Linked DNA regions of Danio rerio. The protein of the gene in region 1 purifies or fractionates together with the protein of each later gene. This does not show direct contact. Links are inferred from orthologs where the notes say so. Each region holds a gene or a part of one and is shown on either strand. Other genes may lie near its edges. The genes, in order: rpp30, rmp64, pop7, rpp40 and pop4.

Evidence for each region.
Region 2: the proteins of rpp30 (region 1) and rmp64 purify together in Homo sapiens (affinity purification with mass spectrometry; 3 studies listed by BioGRID and IntAct, counting the BioPlex papers as one, with this or other methods). This does not show direct contact. The link is inferred for Danio rerio from reciprocal best matches to the Homo sapiens genes RPP30 and RMP64.
Region 3: the proteins of rpp30 (region 1) and pop7 purify together in Homo sapiens (co-immunoprecipitation; 4 studies listed by BioGRID and IntAct, counting the BioPlex papers as one, with this or other methods). This does not show direct contact. The link is inferred for Danio rerio from reciprocal best matches to the Homo sapiens genes RPP30 and POP7.
Region 4: the proteins of rpp30 (region 1) and rpp40 purify together in Homo sapiens (affinity purification with mass spectrometry; 3 studies listed by BioGRID and IntAct, counting the BioPlex papers as one, with this or other methods). This does not show direct contact. The link is inferred for Danio rerio from reciprocal best matches to the Homo sapiens genes RPP30 and RPP40.
Region 5: the proteins of rpp30 (region 1) and pop4 purify together in Homo sapiens (affinity purification with mass spectrometry; 4 studies listed by BioGRID and IntAct, counting the BioPlex papers as one, with this or other methods). This does not show direct contact. The link is inferred for Danio rerio from reciprocal best matches to the Homo sapiens genes RPP30 and POP4.

The regions. Positions count from the first base shown.
Region 1 is NC_133187.1:18,040,386-18,044,558, forward strand, and holds the start of rpp30 (ribonuclease P protein subunit p30), read right to left. Parts: upstream 2,936-4,173; 5' UTR 2,852-2,935; coding exon 2,770-2,851; exon of another isoform or gene 2,085-2,769; intron 1,975-2,084; coding exon 1,919-1,974; intron 1,826-1,918; coding exon 1,769-1,825; intron 1,691-1,768; coding exon 1,625-1,690; intron 1,511-1,624; coding exon 1,442-1,510; intron 983-1,441; coding exon 893-982; intron 1-892. Other genes in the region: kif20bb (kinesin-like protein KIF20B), read left to right, coding at 3,692-3,793, 3,881-3,970. UniProt on the Homo sapiens protein: Component of ribonuclease P, a ribonucleoprotein complex that generates mature tRNA molecules by cleaving their 5'-ends. Also a component of the MRP ribonuclease complex, which cleaves pre-rRNA sequences.
Region 2 is NC_133184.1:29,061,386-29,065,844, forward strand, and holds the start of rmp64 (nucleolus and neural progenitor protein), read right to left. Parts: upstream 2,929-4,459; 5' UTR 2,905-2,928; coding exon 2,820-2,904; intron 1,825-2,819; coding exon 1,670-1,824; intron 595-1,669; coding exon 506-594; intron 1-505. Other genes in the region: tex30 (testis-expressed protein 30), read right to left, coding at 3,070-3,114. UniProt on the Homo sapiens protein: May play a role in cortex development as part of the Notch signaling pathway. Downstream of Notch may repress the expression of proneural genes and inhibit neuronal differentiation thereby maintaining neural progenitors.
Region 3 is NC_133182.1:21,870,686-21,873,885, reverse strand, and holds pop7 (ribonuclease P protein subunit p20), read right to left. Parts: upstream 1,686-3,200; 5' UTR 1,612-1,685; intron 1,251-1,611; 5' UTR 1,231-1,250; coding exon 784-1,230; 3' UTR 518-783; downstream 1-517. Other genes in the region: N(6)-adenosine-methyltransferase subunit METTL3, read left to right, coding at 2,070-2,172, 3,187-3,200. UniProt on the Homo sapiens protein: Component of ribonuclease P, a ribonucleoprotein complex that generates mature tRNA molecules by cleaving their 5'-ends. Also a component of the MRP ribonuclease complex, which cleaves pre-rRNA sequences.
Region 4 is NC_133177.1:26,941,000-26,945,340, reverse strand, and holds the start of rpp40 (ribonuclease P protein subunit p40), read right to left. Parts: upstream 2,892-4,341; 5' UTR 2,823-2,891; coding exon 2,706-2,822; intron 2,614-2,705; coding exon 2,469-2,613; intron 1,990-2,468; coding exon 1,921-1,989; intron 1-1,920. UniProt on the Homo sapiens protein: Component of ribonuclease P, a ribonucleoprotein complex that generates mature tRNA molecules by cleaving their 5'-ends. Also a component of the MRP ribonuclease complex, which cleaves pre-rRNA sequences.
Region 5 is NC_133182.1:47,661,006-47,665,230, forward strand, and holds the start of pop4 (ribonuclease P protein subunit p29), read left to right. Parts: upstream 1-1,280; 5' UTR 1,281-1,364; coding exon of another isoform or gene 1,365-1,371; intron 1,372-1,540; coding exon of another isoform or gene 1,541-1,593; 5' UTR 1,594-1,598; intron 1,599-3,507; coding exon of another isoform or gene 3,508-3,570; coding exon 3,571-3,728; intron 3,729-3,822; coding exon 3,823-3,900; intron 3,901-4,004; coding exon 4,005-4,066; intron 4,067-4,213; coding exon 4,214-4,225. UniProt on the Homo sapiens protein: Component of ribonuclease P, a ribonucleoprotein complex that generates mature tRNA molecules by cleaving their 5'-ends.

The DNA.
Region 1 (4,173 bases):
TTTTAAAGGCAATAAAAAAATAGCTGTTTACATGTTAGACTTTTAATCAAAGTATTGTGTTAATTGTATAAAGGACTATTGGTGTCCATGTAAACATACTCATTGTATGATTTTGAACCAGCTGAAAATAATTGTGTTTATTTTACATGAACAGATGATGTTCACTAAACATGATTTAAATCTTTCTATTTAACTTAAATGAATGCTTTTTTTGTTGAACTTCAAATAGTCATGTTAAATGAACACATATATTTTAAGCTGGTTTAACATCATACAATGTGGTTAAGATCATTTAGTGTAATTACATAAAGCCCCTGTCCAAAATTAAATCATGCTCAGCCAAAGAGCTATTTTTTGAGTGTGACGTATATTATTTACTGACAACAACTACAGTAATATACCAAATACCAGTTTATCTGTCCAAAACTGCTAAAGGTGATAATACACAGGGCAACCTTTAAAGCAGTGTTGCTGAGCGATGTTGCTTGGCTATTTTGTCATTGAGAATGGCCAACAAAACTGTATCTGAATCCATTAAATCAGTTGTCTGCAATATTTTGAAATCCTCTAATCAGAATGCCAGGAGCGAATCATGTTAGAGCCTTTGACCTGTCAGAACAACTCAAACGAAGTGGCAGCCGCTCTGTGGCGATGGAGACAATGGCTTTGAAACAGTGAATACATTTGCAAAGCTATAGGATTATTTGTTTCAAAGCTTTGTTTATTTCATCTCTACTTTACTATCCCTTAAACCATATCATCGGCACAATGTGAAAAGTTGCTTTTAACATAAGAGGCATTTGAAAAAGTTGTTTAAATGTTTATGCTTTATGAAATTCCGCTAGGTGACCATGTACATAGGTATAGATATGGATAAAATGCAATAACTCACCCCATTAACTGGAGCCCTTTTAAAATGGAAGGGCTGTTTTTCCGTCACTGCAATGCAGATAATGTCAACATCAAAAGTCATGCAGGCTGCCTGGCTCAGGTGAGGGAAAAGACAAAGAAAATGTTAATACCACAATAGATTATATGTTTGATAATCAAAATGTATTTTATATATATATATATATATATATATATATATATATATATATATATATATATATATATATATATATATATATATATATAAATATAAATCAAAAATGATAAACTAATTACCCATTATCCAAAATGTAAAGGGTTAGTTCACTAGGGTTAGGCACTTTTTATTATGGATGATGCACTTTATTGGAATTCTTTTGGACTGCTGATAATCAGCTGACATTTACCATTGCAGAGCTGGAAATCCTACATTTTTAAATAACTTCAATTGAATTTGAGTGAAAGGTAAGGCATATAAGATGCCGTGTGGGTGAGTAACTCATTTTCATTTTAGGGTGAACTAAACCTCAACTAAAACTAAAACACAATGTAGAATTGAAACTACACTTACATGAAAGAGCTTTTCAGTTTTGGGGTACACCGCCACAAGGTCAAATTTTTTGTATTCATTAGTAGGTCTCTAAGGAGAATAACACAAACAGTCTCACCATATAATACTGCAGTATATAATACAATATAATGTGTATAATACTTTAGCACAAATTATATTAGAGTTTACGAAGTATAAACTTACAAAATGTGATGCATCAGATGCCACAATGGTCAATCGATTTAGCACTTTGATTGGAGAAGATTTGCCCTATAACAGAAGAAAAAAATTAATTAAAAAGAACACATCATTGTTAATTATCTCGGAAGATATGTTTAAGCTAATTACCTGGACAACTGGAAATTTATCAAATAAGTCTGAAATACTCTGTGGGTTAGGAATTTCCTGTAAAACAAGAAAATAAGAGCATCATACAAACACACACACACGCACGCACAACTCGATAATGCAGTTTAGTTTAACTCCTCTATATTGTACCTGTTTCTTCTGTAGTGGCTCAACTACATAGTTTATTGCAACCGTTGAGTAGCCAACTGAAAATACAGCAAAAAGTATATGAGCATTAGGGGTTTCTCTAAAAGTACAGCATAATCTATGCATTTCTTAGTCTAACTAATCAAAGTTAGCCATCGCCATTACGTACTGGTTATCCTGCTAGGAGCAGTAGACAGCTGGTAAATAGTAATAATCAGCTAATTATGAAAAGTTGAAATACGTTTTCAATTACTAACAACTTTTGATACAAGATTCAACGTAAAAAGGAAATATCAATAAACACTGTATGAACAATTAATAACGTTTCATACTTCGCTTACACACGTGAACACTAACGTTAGAGAATACAACTGTTATTGCGCCGCATTATAGATATAGTCGGAGATTGAGGTAAAGTTGGTTTTATATTCACACATTCGTTCAGTGACATAAATTGCATACACTTCACAAACTGTGAACAATGCTGTACTTTGATAGTTGTTGACTGCTAATATGATTTTACCATTTACAATGAATACTTTTCTGAAACTATATTATTAATGAGAAAGACTGAATGTGCGAATATAAAACCAACTTTCAATTAGTCGGAGCTGGGAATTTCAGCAATGAAACGTCTGACCTCCAAGAGCTGAGAACAGAATAATTAGTGACGTTTTCCTCATCGTTTGACAGATTATCCGTTTAATGTGCCTAATGTGATTTGCTTGTGTCTGTAATATATCCGACATCCTACTCCAAAGCACTGTTCAAACGGCGTTCTACGCGTTATTTTTAAGTCATGTTAGGGGGAAACCAATCCAAATTGTCTGGATCGTAACTGTACTGCTACTTACGGTGAGCAGCTGTCTCTATGATGTGTTTCAGTCTGTTCTTATCACTACTATTGATGATGTTTAAATCCATAAACACAGACATCTTTCTCCTATTGATGGGATTCGGGAAAAGTGTTCACTGGTAAGTTCATATAAGAATACACCGTTTCAACTACTGAACACACACATCCATGGTACAGAGAACCACATGGTAAAATATGATCTCCTTCGTTTGGTGTTTTTTAAGACTGATAGTAAGCAAATGATAGGTACATTACCGTCACCTACTGGACTGGAGTGAGAGCATTAATGGAATAGAAAGTACAAAATCACAAAAAAACTAATTCCTGGTAAACAGACTTATTATTTTAAAACTGTGTAATTTAAACCACAAAAATACGTTGATTTCTCAAACAAGTTCGATCACAAGATAAAGCGTCAACCTATAACTGAGCCTTGTGGGCTAGTTCCGTTTTACTTTTCCTTACATTAGTTTCGACCGTCCTGTCAGTCAACCAGAACCACAGTATATTTTACTTCCTGTTGGAGGTGGAGCTACGTCTGTAGCGTGCTCTCCAATTGGTCGGATTTAAACAGAAGGAGAACCGCGACCACTGGAAAGAAGCATGTAAGCGATGTAAACGGGATAAACAAAAGGAAATAATAACAATAAGGGAAAAGTAAGTGAAATTATCTGAAATGAAAACACACAGGGAATCGTTTTACATTGTTTCATGCTATTAAACAATGTTGATTAGTTTAATGCGATACGAATAAGGTTAACATGTTTTACGAAAGCTAGTTTTAACGCGTTCGGCAACGTTAGTAAGTTATGAGTCGTTGTTCCATTTGTCGCCACCTAACGTAACGTTAAATACATCTTTATTATTACGCAATAACTTTCTTTATTTAAACGTCAAACTTCTTTACAGGTTTGATCAAGATGATGGAATCGTGTTTAAATCACAAGCCTGACCGTGTCGACTCTATAACGGTTGAAGACCTCCGAAAAGATCTTTTCTCCGAGTTCTCCAAATTATCCAGGGTATTTATTATCTCATCTTCTAAAGCAGTCGAATCCGATTTTTGGCCGAAGCTAACATTTCCTGGTGTACATTTCTCTTTCTAACAGGACTCGGTGTCGCTTGAAAAAGAGCATTTGCAGGTCTATCTCCGCGTACGTCCGTTCACCTCAACAGAGAGAGCTGAAGGAGAATCACAGGTGCTTGCACATTTTTGACAAATCTTTGAAAATATTAAGTTATAAGACTTTTCCCCATGTTCATGTTTAAAACCCCTTATTATAACTTTTAAAAACATGTTAAGTTGAATAGCGACGTCATTTATATTTTCCCTTTTGTTGTTTTTGGAACAACATGAGAAATGGTGACATTTATTTATTTGTTTATTTGTTTGTTTGTTTGA
Region 2 (4,459 bases), on another chromosome or scaffold:
ATAAATTATTCCCTAGGCTATGTGACACTTAATAGATGATTCCCCTTTATTTAAGGATGTTGCATATTATTCGCTTATATTAAGTAATAGAAAGTGTTAAGTGTTTCTGCACATAAGAGCAAGTAATAAAATATAGCCTATATTTCAATTTGCTCAACAGCTATTCATTAATAAAGCACTACATTAAAAATTTCATTATATGTTTTCTTTCCCTTATTTATTTATTTAATTTGTTTGCCGCATGTACTCGTGTTGAGTGCCATCGAAAATCTAGTGTAGTGACGGCATGCCATCTTTAACAGACTCGGGCTAAGTCTGCCCCAAAGCCCTAGCTGGTCCAATTTGGCCCAAGTTATTCGGCTGAAAAAGGCCAGATGCTGGCCCAGAGAAAGCCCCGCTTTGGCCTGATCAGGCTCCGGAAGTGACAGTGAAAACGTGACTGGCCTTGGCTCGCTTTAGGTGAGATAGTGGAAACACGGCTATTGTGTCATTACTTTGACCTTACCTCTGAAATTTGTTTGGACACACTTCCTTCAGATCTTCCACCGCTGCTTGTAACTTCATCTCTTTTAAACGGTTTACACATTGCTCAACCTGCAGATCATGTAAATCTGATAAGTATTTTATCATGAACAAGAAAAAATGATGCAGTATTATTTGTAACATCTGTAACTATGAGTAAAAAGGCAAGCAGGGTTGTAAGCATCACAATGTGGCTACATTTTTTTCATACATTAAACTGCGTCTGGGCAAAGCAGTGGCGCAGTAGGTAGTGCTGTCGCCTCACAGCAAGAAGGTCGCTGGTTCAAGCCTCGGCTCAGTTGGCGTTTCTGTGTGGAGTTTGCATGTTCTCCCTGCGTTCGCGTAGGTTTCCTCCGGGTGCTCCGGTTTCCGCCACAGTCCAAAGACATGCGGTACAGGTGAATTGGGTAGGCTAAATTGTCCGTAAAGTATGAGTGTGTGTGTGTGTGCGTGTGTGTGTGCGTGTGTGTGTGTGTGTGTGTGTGTGTGTGTGTGTGTGTGTGTGTGTGTGTGTTTGTGAATGTTTCCCAGAGATGGGTTGCGGCTGGAAGGGCATCCGCTGTGTAAAAACTTGCTGGATAAGTTGGCGGATCATTCCGCTGTGGCGACCCCGGATTAATAAAGGGACTAAGCCGACAAGAAAATGATTGAATGAATGAATTGCGTCTGTTCATCTGTGAAATATAAATAACTACACTATTATCATGATATGCAGAACAGATCACCTGAAATATTTAATGTAACAATAGTATAATTTACCAGAACATCTTGTCATTCATGACTAAAGCAATAATCATTGATATTAAAATTAAAATACTTTAAGGACAACAGTGCAGTCCCAAGATACAACCTTCAAACTTTTTACACATTTGTCAGCAAAATGTTTTTTTAATTAATTAAACATTTTTAAAGAGGTAGAGGTCAAAATAAGAATTGTTGAATGTTTGCACACAAACACAATGAAACATTATTTCACCCATATTTTAATATTTTAACAAGTTATTAAAATAGACACTACTTTTATTTTGAATTTATTTTTCTTTCTATATAAAATCCAATCTGCAAATGGTTAACTAGATTAGGATACCAAAAATGTGAAATTTAGTTTTTGACCTGTGTGTGTGTGTATTACAGGACTGGCTCTCACCTGCTTTAATGCACGGAATGGCTTGTGTTGTCTGAAGCCATTGTTCAAAATGTAAAGCAGTTCGTACAGCACACGGATTTCTGTCTGAAGAACTTCACTACATAACAGGGTCAACACTTTCTCACAGTCAGCCAGCAAGCAATCAATCAAGAGATCTAGACAGAAAAGAAAAGTGTCTGACTGCACATGTATTATACATGTAACACATATAATAAGGCACTTAAAATAAGTTAGAACGAGACACTTCAGGCAAAAACAAACACATATACACACAGCAACAGCATTTATTTCCTGCACCTGTAAATATTCTTTATTTTTGTCTAACGGAAGGAAAATATCAAAAACAGTTCAGATTACAGATTAATGCAAAATGTTTGAGTATTAAAATGCATAAATTTATTTTTTAAGTCAAACAGAAAGAAAATATCCAGAGCACATATTAATACATAACATATGTGTATTAAAATTGATACAATTATTTATTTTTAGTTTAATTACTAACCATTTTGTATAATTTACATGTTGGGTGTATTATATATTTTATTAAAATGCATTGGTAAGGACGAAATCTGGGCAACTTTAAAAGTCAATTTCTTAATATTTAGATTTTTTTTCATAGTTAAATGTCTGACAAATATTGTCCGATCCAAACAAAGCACTGGGAAACTTTTAGTTAATTTTTTTCAAATGATGAGCTTCATTAAAAATTGACCCATATTTTTCTGATCTTGTGGTTCAGGGTCACAGAAAATATTAGAAAACGTGTAATGACAAAAAATATTTGAAATGCTTAATGTAAATCAATCAACTGCTTGACCTTTTTTTAACCACATGATAAACATTATAAACTGGTGCAGATGCATTACAGAATGTAACATTGTTATCTATCGTACGAAGAAATTGTTTATATAAAACAAAACAACAGCCTGAACTAACAATAGTAAATATATATTTTGCTGATCGAAGCAACTATCTAAATGTCATGAGTTAAATGTTTTATTAAAAGTGTTTCACGTGAATCTTGCGGATCCACGTGTTCTCGTCAAGCGCTAAAACACTCTACTCTGTGAATTTATTTGAGCGATGTGTGTGTGGTTTCAATTTTATAAAAAATGTAGTAATACCGATATTTTAAAACATCGAAACATACCTATCGAATCCGTAAATGGGATTCGAGTCGAAGAGACAGCACTTGGAAACGGAATGTTTATTTTATTCCAGCACTCCTGCGCCATGTTTACAGCTGACTGCCGGGGAGAGAAAACCAGCCAATCATATGCTTGTGTGTGCGAATACGTCATAGTGCATAAAGGTACAAGCACACCATTCTTGTGCGCTTACCAAAACAAGTCGTTAGAAGCCACTGTGAACTTTCTTATTCTTGCTGGGAAATTTTACTTTCACAAACAGAGGTTCCTTAAAAAAATCCAATCTTTATAGACTTCCTGTGTGAAATAGAACATTTATTTAAATCTCTTAGATTAACTGAAAATAAGAAAAGTGCTTCTTACTTGAGCAAATATGATGTGATCATGCTACTTGAATATTTATCTCTTTTTTATTGCGCTGTCTTTTAACTTTTTACGTTTTTTATTATTATTTTTTATGTAATGTGTTTTGGTTTTGCTCTTTATCTTGTGTATGTAATGTGATTAATGTGTTAAAGAACTGTTATCTTTTACTGTATTCTAAATTGTATTATACAGTTTCTTTAAGTTTATAAAAAAAAAAAAAAACAACATTCTTTTGCGCTTTTGAAATAATAGATGGCGATATAGTTTGGAAACAGTTTTGGCTTCTTCGGGGGAAAAAAATATATCTAATAAAGCTGTCGAAGTCTCAATCCAAGTCATTCTTAATTGCTACCATATAAATACCAAACTAGCTAAATTCAATAAGAATATTTCCCCTAAATGCTCAATTTGTTCTCAATACGAGTAAACTTCAAATCACTAAATCATTTATTTTGAGAGTGTATATAAAGTGTTTTGAGTTGACTTTTCCAATTTCATTAAAAAATCTTGTTTCCAAACGTTTTTATTTCCCCAAAAAAATTATTCTTCGTTTACTCTCTGAACTTAGATCCTTCTTATAGCAAATTTAAAACTTTTTTATTTTCAGAAAGGACTTTTATATTTATATGTTAACTCCTTTAATTATTCTAGCAATTATATTGCTTGTAAAACTCTTTCTTGGTGTAAATCACTTAAACTTGTTAAGTTTAATTAACAATAATTTTTGTAAACGTTCTTTCTTGCATTGAACAAAAAAAAAAAAATCTTTTGCGCATTTTGCCCTGTCCATTTGCTTAAAAATGTTGAAGAAGACTTTTCCAAAGTGCATTATTGCAAGCTTATTATATGTTTTTTTGTTTAAGGTAATAAGTAAATGAACAACTGTTCTCTAAAACATGCATTTATGAAGAGTTATACATTCTTAAATCATCTAAATAAACAAATCCAACGACTTATTAGCTGAAGAACTCCATTCTCAAATCCTAAAATATGGAAATAAAATTTATATTCATTCTTAAATAGTTAAAAAGATGACTTTGAAAATAAAAGCTTTGTTCTTTATTTGTAATGTTCTCTTAACCAGTTCTTATACTTAAAGACACATTTATTTGAGAATAAATTGCATACAAGTCTTAAAGTTTCTGTATTATTATATTAAATTTACACTATAATATAATACAATACAAAACAGTATTATACTGTTTTGGCTTTTATATAATTTCCCAATGCAAATAAAATGTGTATAATGATTATAACCACAATTAACTATGTTAGA
Region 3 (3,200 bases), on another chromosome or scaffold:
ATATATATATATATATATATATATATATATATATATATATATATATATTTATTTATTTATTTTTATTTTTATTTATTTTTTTTTTTTACCTTTATTATATACTGGTTTGCCATCATTATATTCTTATTAATAGGACAGTTCACCCAAAAGTGAAAATTTACTCACAATCACTTGGTTTCATACCTTTATGAGATTCCTCTTTCTGTTGAACATTAAAGAAGATATTTTGAAAAATGTTATAATGTTGTAACTATCGACTTCCAAAGTAGAAATCAAACACTATGGAAGTCAATGGTCACAGTTTTGTAAATTTTCTTCTTATTTCTTGTTCAACAGAAACAAAAACTCAAACAAGTTTCTGACAGGTAAAGGGATGAAGAAAATTATGAGAGAATTTTCAGTTTTGGGTGAACTATCCCTTTTATAAAATTAATAATAATAATATCTAAAATATATTGTTGTCTTAATATGCATACACATGCAGGAAGATACAATCAACAAAGTGTTGGTGGGGCTGTTTACTTTGCATTTAAGCTGTTTACTTTCCATTTAAGTTTACTATACACAAGAACACAAATACATAGTAGAAAAAAATACATATGGCACATTTCTTTCTTGTTTTTCAAATAAAACATTCAATAACACAGCAATTAATTAAAAAAAAAGTCTTGAAGCAGAAAAAAATCATAAATAATGCATCACTTTAAAAAACTTCTACATGCCACTAACGTCATACAATTGTTCATGAAGCCCTCATTCATTATATTGACACTGAAGCTGAAACTACGGATTGGGGTAAAACACCTTGATATGGATGGCCGAGTTATTCCGGGTACGGGTCAGATGCTCTCCGGCCTCGTCCGGATCTTCAGGCTCCAGGTCGTCGATGAGCTCCACCGTGGAGGTGTTTGCGGCGAGTTGCAGGGCGCCCTGGCTGGACGTCTGGAGCTGCAGAGCGATGTTTATAGCCCGGTTGATGGCCAGTCCCAGGCCGTGGATGCAGATTTCCCTGTGAGCGTCCAGAAGTTTCTGACACCTCGCTAGCTGAGCCTTGAAGTCAGTCTTCATGTTGACATAGACGTCGTTCCTCCGTTTGGGCAGTTTGCGAGGCAGTCGCTTGCGGAGGGTGAACTCTATTGGGTCCATCTCAAGGGTCGAGCCCTCGGGGGCAGCCAGGACTATTGGATTGTGGGGCACAGAAGCGGACACCGGGCTTCGTGGCTCAGCCATGTCGAATCACCTGAAAGGTGCTGCACAAACAGAACATTAATTCGCGTTTTAAAGATAAGACTCGTAACAATTTTACATATAAATGATGTGTGAATTATATTTTAACGACATGTATTTAAACGATTCCCCACAATGAACCGACTCATATGAATCATCCATTCGTGAATGGCTATATACACTGGGCGTGCATTATATTTCAGGGTATAACGCTGTATATTAAATAAGATATTACATCCACATCACATTCGAGAAACATTTTGTTTACGAAGCAGGTTCTCATTTACACAAACATTTCCAATTCATTGCCACTTAAGTTAGTGGATATAGATTTTAATATATAATGTTTGATGTATAATTTGGGATTTTGAGTAAGAGTAGTACCTTGAATTAGAAGAGCTTGTTTCAGATCCGCGCTTAATTCCTGGTAGATAAAGAATCTGCTTATTTACAGATCTGTCTTATCTCTCATTCCGGAAGACGTCTTGCGTACACTGGAAGTAATACACTATGTGATTACAAAATACATACTGTTCTTTTCTTGGTGGGGAAATATCTATTTTTATTTCGTATATCAAATAGTTATAATTGAATCCTAATTAAAAATATATATGAGTTAAAATACGTAAAAATATAAAAGTACCTGTATGAACGAGATCGTTGCTAATCAGTAAATATAGTTAGTGTCTCTTATTTTGAAAATAGAAACAGTTTAGCGGCACGGTGTGTATGGTGGTACAGTCACTCAGCGTTAGTTTGCTAGATGTAATCTAAACTTCATAAAACCCCTGTTTAATCAGTACTGTTTGTTTATTTGCTGTTTAGCTCGTTTAATTTAAGCCATGTCGGACACATGGAGTCACATCCAGGCGCACAAAAAGCAGCTGGATTCACTACGAGAGAGGCTGCAGAGGAGAAGAAAAGACCCAACTCAACTGGGCACTGGTGTGTTGAGTAATTTTACATTATCTGATATCTGAAAAATAAAATGTGTATTTTTAACTGTTTGTGTGATATGTAAAAACAAAGAAGACAGTTTTATGATTTTTATTATCATATCACTTTTTAAATGTATTAAAAATTGTAAAACATCCAGGGCATATCTTTATCGTTAACAATAAAATAAGAGATAATGATGATATGTACAGGCAACGTCGTGAGTTGTATGCTCAAGCAAATATGTAGGTGAGAGAACGTTATGTATTAATAACAGGTTAAGATAAGTCCCTTTAGAGCAAATTGTAATTGTTTTTATACAGCTCTTTTGTGGTTTTACGTTTAGCTGAAAGAGTCTCCTTAAGCTGCAGGTTGTGTAAAATGACTATGAGGATTGTGCTTCATTTTTTTATTATTCTGTTAGGCAAGAGTACAACCATTCCCTGCTTTAATGACAAATGTGATGTATGAATTTATTTGTCAGCTGGAGAACATACATAACAATATGTTGTTGACAAATCCTAGACCTAAAGATGTTCGATATCAGTCCTCTGTGAGAAATATTAGCGTAACTGTTATTTTTAATGTATAATGTATAATTAATGTATCATTTTCAATGTAAAATTATATAACTTACTATTTTCCCAGTGTTGTGTTGCAGCTAGAAGGACATCCCGCTTCATTCCGCTGTGGCGACCCCAAATTAATAAAGGGACTAATCCGAAAAGAAAATGAATGAATGAATAATTTACTGTTTTGCATGTTATTGTGTGTTTTCTTTCTTTTCTTGTTTTATTTGCTAAACATTAAACTACCTTTGTAAACCACGTTTCTGATATAATCAGATTTATTTACTTGAATTCAAATGCTAAACGTGGAAATATCTAATACTATCAGAAGTGTACTATCAAAATGGTAAAAACATTTGAATGTATGCTAAAAGAAAGTTCAGCGGTGTCGAAATAGTGAGTCTATGATGCCACCTGCTGTATGAGAATTTCCTAACAGTTCTTATTTTAACAGAGGTTGGAAGTGTT
Region 4 (4,341 bases), on another chromosome or scaffold:
CTTGAACAACTAAATGAATACTTAAGTCTATTTAACTGATTATATTTTAATTACATTACAACATAATGCTGTAAAAGGTACTGTATGAAATTTAAAACAGTCACATATAGCCTTCACTAGGCATTTATTGGGGGTTAAAAAACACTAGCTGTGCATATTCACCTTATTTTTCGTGTACAAGGGGGTGCCGTCTTTTTGGCTCGAAACTTCGGGCCTCAATCACTTCCATTGACTTTAAACAACATTCTGCTGCTTAATGTTGAACACTGATATTGTCTTATTATATTATTCTGCTTTGTCAGCATAGTCATGAACACACTTGTTTGTAGAGCATGTAGTTTGACTGTTTTTTGTCATTTATTATTCGTAGTAATTTCTACCATTGGCAACTGAATCGGATGTTCTAAAACAATCCCAAAAACGAGCACACTTCTGCATTGAGGAATAAGGTCAATAAACCATTATTTTTTTTTTTTTTATAAAAAAAAAACAATGAATTATTTTAGGGATTATGTATATTCAGCCTGTTGATTTACATTGTTGATTTTTTTGTTGAATACCAGCAATATATGGTACTGTAAAGTTACAGTTCACCCAAAAATGACAATTTCTACCATTGGCAACTGAATCGGAAGTTCTAAAACAATCCCAAAAACAAGCACACTTCTGCATTGAGGAATAAGGTCAATACATCATTAATATATTTATTTGTTTAAATAAAAAAACAATTACTTATTTTAGGGAATATGTATGTTTTTGGCCTGTTGATTTTGCACAATACCAGCAATATATGGTACTGTTAAGTTACAGTTCACCCTAAAATGACAATTCTGTTTTCTCTTGTCATCATTCAGCTTTCACTTGTTCCAAACCCGTTTCAGTTTATTTCTTCTACTGAACATGAATAAAGATATTATAAACAATGTTGACGACTTGTAATCATTGCCTTCTAGCGCATTTATTTCTCCTATCACTGGCTACCAGTTTCAGGCATTTAAAAAAAAAGTTTTTCTTTTGTCTTCAACAAATGCAAAGTTTGAAACCACTTGACAGTGTTTAATTGATAAGTAATGCATTTCAATTTCAATATAATCAATAAAAAGTGACATAAAGTGGAAAAAGATGCTCAGATAAGAATAAAAAATCTCAGAATGCCACAAATAAGCAAAAGCGTGTATTATAGAGTTGTTTATTAATAATAAACGCAGTGCTTGGATTACAGAACATCACTGGCTTATATATATATATATATATATATATATATATATATATATATATATATATATATATATATATATATATATATATATAGTTGATGTCAGAATTATTCAACCCCTGTTTATTTTTTTCCCCGTTTTTTTCCCAACACATTTCTAAACACAATAGTTTTAATAACTGATCTCTAATAACTGATTTTTTTTATCTTTGCCATGATGAAAGTAAGTAATATTTGACTAGATATTTTTCACGACACTTCTATACATCTTTAAGTGACATCTAAAGGCTTAACTAGGTTAATTAGGTTAACTAGGTAGGTTAGGGTAATTAGGCAAGTTATTGTATAACGGAGGTTTGTTCGAAAAAAAATATAGCCTAAAAACTGTTACAGAAATTGATATTGTTGTACTCAACATTTTTCGTTTGTTCTGTTTGAAAGATTTTATTTATTCTTTTCATGCAGATGAGTGCAGATTTTACATTTTTATTTTATTATCTTTAACTTCTTAAAACTATTTCTTTCCATTAAATTATAAAGATAAAATATTATGTTGTCTGAATGTCATCTTGTTGTCATATTATTGGTTTTCTTTGCAAGACAAATTTAAAGTCATTTAAAGTACTGAATGAATTAACCTGATTAACTCAGTTCAATAAAATAAAGCAGCTTTGTTAGAATCACAGCACAAGTGCATGTCTTACCACTGGAAAGAAGTGCAATGGAATTATCTTCATCAATTTTGGTGTTGTAAGAGAGTGCATAGAAATGTCCTGTGTAAAAATAAATGAATAAATAAAAATCAGTAACAGATTCTTACATTCACATAAACACTTTAGCTAAAAATAAGAAATAATTCTTTTTCAGCATTGTTAACTTTAATGTTAGTAAACATAAAATAGCTACCTTTTGTTTTTGCTCATGTTAGTTCACAAGCTTACAAGTCACAACTGTTTAAGACTGTTTAGTCCAGCTGCCATCATCTTATTGCTCACAATCTCACTTGCAAGACTTTTAGTCTTGTTGTTTGTGATTGTTGTACAATGCATGCAATGTTTCTATATGTTGTGTTCTATATACAGTATGTGACTAATGTGTGTATTATTATTCTAATTATTAGTATTAGTGTGAACAAACAGCTCTGGATTAATACACATTGAAACAATCTGAAATGAACCAATGCTGTATACGTCTTTAGCTCGTGTTATGTAGCGTATTACACAAAAACGTTAGCAATGGACATTTCTTGAACCTTTCTTCACGAGCGACTCCAGAAATGTTTCTTCCAGCAGTTCATATACAGGCAGGTCCCGCACTAAATAATAAGGGCTGAAGCTGCTGAAGGCACTGCTGATGTTAGCAGGCAGGATCCCGCATTCAGGAATCAGCACTGAGGTCTGCGGGAAACGCATTCCCTTAGTAAACCATCACGGTCAATGTTTACAATCAAAGTCGCTATGCTGAGCACATGTCTCGTGTTGAAACTTGCCTTGTAGTTAAAGCTGTGCTTCGACACGTGGATGTCATGCCGAGACTTTTCATTCAAGAAGTTTGATTTCTCGCACACCAGCAGGTTTCTCGGGCACTTTTCCAGCTCTGGCGACATTTTAATATCTGTACAAAATACTTACATTGTTGTTACATCAAGCAGCGAAATAAAGAAACGAGTTTATTACACTAAACTGCATCGGCGCGCCTGTTTAATGTTTCAAAATAGTGGCAACTTCGCCTGTCGCAAAGGTTTGACGTCAGTTCCTGCTGTCAGCAGAACTCGAGCAGCAGTTCGCGAGTCTTTGAAAACGATAAAATAATATAACTGATAAAATATTATTTAATTTTATTTGGAAAAAATTGTATCCATTATATAAAAAAATCGGTAATTATGAATAGCTTTGAGAATGGGGGTCTTAATATGCTGGATTTTTGTACATTTAATAATACTATCAAAATTAAATGGGGAAAATTTTTCTCAAAAATCCAACCTCAATCTGGAATTTTATTCCAAATTACATATTTTCTAAATTTGGAGGGCTTAATTTCTTATTACTCTGTAACTATAATGTTGAGAAAATACCAGCTAAATTATCTCAATTTCATAAACAATTTCTTCTTGCCTGGTCACTATTATACAAGCACAACTTTTCTCCTCACAAATATTTTATTTGGAACAACCTAAAGATTGTATATAAAAACAAATCTCTTTTCTTTCAGCGCTGGTTTGAAGCAAATATTCTGCTTGTTAGTCAATTATTTAACTCAAATGGCCATTTATTAAATTATAACGAATTTCTTAATCGATTCAATATACCCATCCCCCCTAAAGAATTTGCTGTGGTATTTGATGCTATACCATCTGGTGTTATTAGATTATTCCAAGGCATCCCCTATCCTTCTGTTTTACCTCTTTTAGACCCTTCTACTACAATGATTGGAAAATGTTGTTTCTCTGCAACTTCTTCAAACAAAACAATACGTTTTTTATAATGGAACTGTATCAGTTCCAAATGTTACTTTTTATTGGAATTCTTTTGTTTCGGATATTGATTGGAGAAAAATATGGCTCACCCCAAATAACTACTTAATTACAAATAAGATAAAAGAAGTTTCATTCAGAATTATTCACCGTACATACCCAGTCAATACTCTTTTAGTACGATATAAAAAAGATCTTAATATTAATTGTTCATTTTGTGGGCAGCACCCTGAGTCCCTGGTTCACTTATTTTGGCAATGCAATTACACTAGGTTGCTTTGGAAAGACTTCTCACTTTTTATAATTGAGAATGTTGATGAGGAATTTTCCTTGCTGTGGGAGAATGTTTTATTTGGTTTTGTTGATTATGGAACGGGGACTTTACATAAAAAGAAAAAATATTTTCTTAATCTTCTTGTCTTATTAACAAAATTTTATATCCATAAATGTAAATTTTCAAACCAAAAACCTTTTTTTTATATTTTGCTTACTGAAATGCAGTATTACTTTGAAACAGTGTCTAACTCTTTTACAAAAAAGGCTTTAAAAACAACTGAAATTTGTAAATTATATAATCTTTTTCTTTAACTTGTAATGTATTTACCCCTCCTGTTTTTTTTTTTGTTATCTGTTGTTGTTTCTTATTCCAAAA
Region 5 (4,225 bases), on another chromosome or scaffold:
TTCCTGTTTCTGAACAGCAAACCCAGAACTTCCATAGCACAGTATTTAGTACCATCACAGTAATAGTCACTCACCACTGAGGGATCAGCTCCTGCAAATATGTCTGATAATCAAATTATTTATATTGTTTGCAAAAAAAAAAAAAAAAAAATAGAAACATAGTGCAATTAAAGCTGACCTCTTTGTGTTTCTTCTTGGCTTGATTTGTTTACTTGCTACTTCACATTCTAGAGCCCCAGTCAGAGCACTCTCTTCAGTCGACGGCCATGCTGAATCATCCAACATGCTCAAACATTAATCCGACTGAGTTGGGCAGCTCAGGTTTTACTTTTTTTTGGACACAATTCAGCTTACCAGCCAGGCTGGTCAAATCTAGCCATGAAACCTCCAACTCCAACAATATTGCAAAAACTAAATTTACTAAATACAATTTTAACTCAAATGTAAATATATATATTTTTTGTTTCTCCTGATTTTCCCTCTTTATTAAAAATGCATTTAATATTTTTCCTAACATTTTTATTTGGGTGTAATAATTTTTGGAGCTTCTTTTAAATTATTTTGCAAAGCTCCAGGTATGGCTTTGGTGAGTAATTTATATGCACAAATATAATAGCATCCTAGAAAATATTCATTTAAAAGAGGGATCTTTCTCTGGGTTTAATCATATATTTTATATATATATATATATATATATATATATATATATATATATATATATATATATATATATATATATATATATATATATATATATATATATATATATGTTTTGTTATTACAGACATGAACTTAATCAATATTTGTATGTAGGCTATGTTATTTTTATTGTATGTCTGTTACTTTTATTGTCTACATGTAGGTTTATCGAACATTTTAACATTTAAGTTTTTTAAGTATGTTAGTCATGCAATAGCCTATTATTAGATATACAATGTTTATTAAGTTTTTTGTACTTTATTTGTTTACATAAATAATGATATTGATATAATTATATAAGATAGCCTATTGTGTAATTTAAAAAATATGCTGGGATACCAATGAGCAAAACGTTGGTATTTTCCTTGGAGACTGTGGTAATGTGGAAACGCTCTGTGTTTATACATATATTTTAAACTTGACCAATGCTCAACCATAGACTGTGCTCCACACTGGATCATGCATGAAATGATATTGCATCCCCTTTAAAGAATTTTAAAGCAAAGGTGTTATGACGTATAAAAAACAGAAGATGGCAGTAGTGCAACATGAAGAATGCAAGGTAAAACACGAAAGAAGAAGAAGAAGATCAGCTCATCTGTTTTGGCAGCACGTTTTTTCTACAGCGGGAGTGTTTTAATTCCGGTGTCTTCAGCTTTTGAGCTATGGAACGTTAGTGTTAAATTGGTTTTACTTTTGTCATGATCATTTTAATGTTGGGTTGCTGAATGTGTTTGTTTTGCAGTTTATCGATACTGTTTTTCTGTGAAATTTTATTCTACTCATTACAAGAGGATGGTCTGTCGTAATTTTATGTATGCTAACGTTATATTTTTCACAGGTGTGCTGCAGTCAGAAATCCCCTCAGATCAAAGTCATCTTTTGGGAGTTGAGGTGATGTATGTTCAGTATTGTTAACCATCATTTACCAGTTTACTCGCAGTTAGACACCGCATTTAATCAGCTTTATTTATTAACCATCTGTTATTGCATACATTATGCTGTAAAGAAGTGTGTCAGTTTGCATTTAGTAAAAATAATGTACAGTGTTACTTGGCATATATAACTTTTATATTTAGTATGTCTCTTGAGGTTTAAGTTTCTTTATTTTTCTTTTTTATTTAGCCTACTATAAAGATGTGTTGTATTACTTATGAAATAAACAACTACCACTTAAAATATTTCTATTTTTATTTATATTTGTATATTTTTGACCTCAGATTTGGCTCTTTATATAAAGGAAGCATAGACTACGTTAGCATGTATATCAGTAATCAAATTAACTCCCCTAATCTGAAAATAATAATAATATGATGGTGTTTATATGAGTTGCTTTTCTGAATGTTCCTTTCATGATCCCGTTTTTTTCTTCTTTTCGTTTTATAGCACATAATTCGATAAACATCATTGCATCACCACACTTTCCACATTTTCTCTAGTTTCATGTCTCTTTGGGTGTTTAATTAAACATTTTTCGCCTTAAAGTCTACGTTCATGTATGAAGCATGCATGAAGCTGGTTCTTCACTGACTCTATAGGTGTAGAGAATAGAAAATATACAGAAAGTCCTACATGACAGTAATAGTTTGATTTGAGTGTTTACATGTATGTTCTGCACTTCAATAATGCTACTAAATCAGCGTTATCCACATGTTTTAATTCGATTTCTGTTTAGCACTGTTATGACCATAATTTGATTAAGTGAATTAAAAAATTGCTGTTTATATGGTAGACTCTTAATCTGAGTATTGTCTTAATCTTATTGAAATCAGATTATTGGTGTCCATGTAAACACACTTGTAGAGAGGAACAATTGAAGAGTTTAAATGCAAAAACCTCTTAGGTGCTATCAGAAATTTTCATCTAAAATGAGCATTTTTCTCAGGCTGTTGTGTGTAGTTTCAGTAATTTTACTCTGTGTTGAAAGAATAAGTTATTGTCATTGCCTTTTAAAGTGAAATAACTCTACTTAAACATAGGAGGCTGAGAAAAATGCACATTTTAGAGAGGAAAATTTCAGACTACGCAACACTTTTTGCATCTGAACTCTGTTTATGTACATTTTTGTTCATTTAAATAAAAAGTGTAGTAAATTGCAGTATTTACTCAGATAATGCTGCTTAATCAAAAGAAAAACTTTTTCTTTCTAAAGGGCGTCATACACCGGATGTGGCGCAACACCGTGCGCACATGGCAGTGGAAAGTATCGCACACCAGATGCGCACGTTCGCATGCTATTCAGTGTCCTGAGTCATAGGTGGGCGCTGCTGACAGCCCCCGACTTGCGACACTGGTGTGCATACCTAATCTAATAGAAACCTATGTTTAGAATTATAAAATGCATGGCGCTACATGGCGCGGCACTTCTGGTGAGTGACCCCCTTTACTCATTCTCAGTGTTTACATATACTGTAGGCCAGGGGTGTCCAAATTCAGTTCTGGAGGGCCGGTTTCTGCATATTTTTGTTCTAACCCCAATTAAACACACATGAACCAGCTAATCAAGCTCTTTCTAAGTATACTACGCACTTGAGGCCGTAGTAATAAAGAACTGTAGTAGTAAAGAATTAGAACTTCCTCTCTCTTGTTTAAAGGCTGTCCAAAATATGCAGTGCTTCTGCTTTTCTTTTTAATTTTGCAAGCTCCTTTGAATTTTGCTTGATTTTGTGTTAAATTAATTGTGTTAAATCTGTTATCAGTCGCAGCATTACAACATCCCAGAGGGACTGACTAATGCTGATAAATTCACACTGTATGATGTACAGAAATTTTGCAAACCAGTGAACTGTGGAATGTGGCTTTTTACAGTCTCAACATGGCACAGATGCAGAGGCTTTCACAAAAGCATTTGTCAAGAATAGCATTCCCCATATGAAAGACGCAGCTATCGAGGATATGATGGCACGCAAGGCAGTGGTCCTGGAATATAAAAGACCAAAGAAAAAGGTGAAGAAGGTAAAAGCCAAGGGACTGAATGCCAAAGAAAGAAGACGGCTGCAAATATTCCAGCTTAAGCCTGAACATCAAAAGTGGGTGTTGGAGGTTTCATTATAGCTTGATTCTTACACTTATAGAAATGTATTGTGTTTAAAAGTTCTGCTTATTGTATGATTCTGATTGTAGATATGAACTCTTCTTACCTCTGCATAAGCTGTGGAAAAGCTATATTGAGGATCTGTGCAATGGATTGAAACCAGGAAGGTATAAGGAAGATGCTCTTCAGAGTTTTAGGCTTGTGGATATTTCATTTCCAGTCTTGCTTACACTCCCTGAATGTGCTGCTTGCTTGTGTCTTCTGAATACAGCAACCCACAGGTGATCCAGCAGAAGCTCTTGAAAGCTGATTTCCATGGTGCTATATTAACAGGTACGCCGTCATGCACATTTGGAAATGTCAACCCACAAAGGCACATTTTGTAGTTCAGCTGCTGTATTTCCAGAATTTCCATGTAAGGGGGATATTTTGGGCGTATGGAGAACCTCATGATTTCACTCTCATTTTTCTGCCTTCTAGTTGTCAGATCGA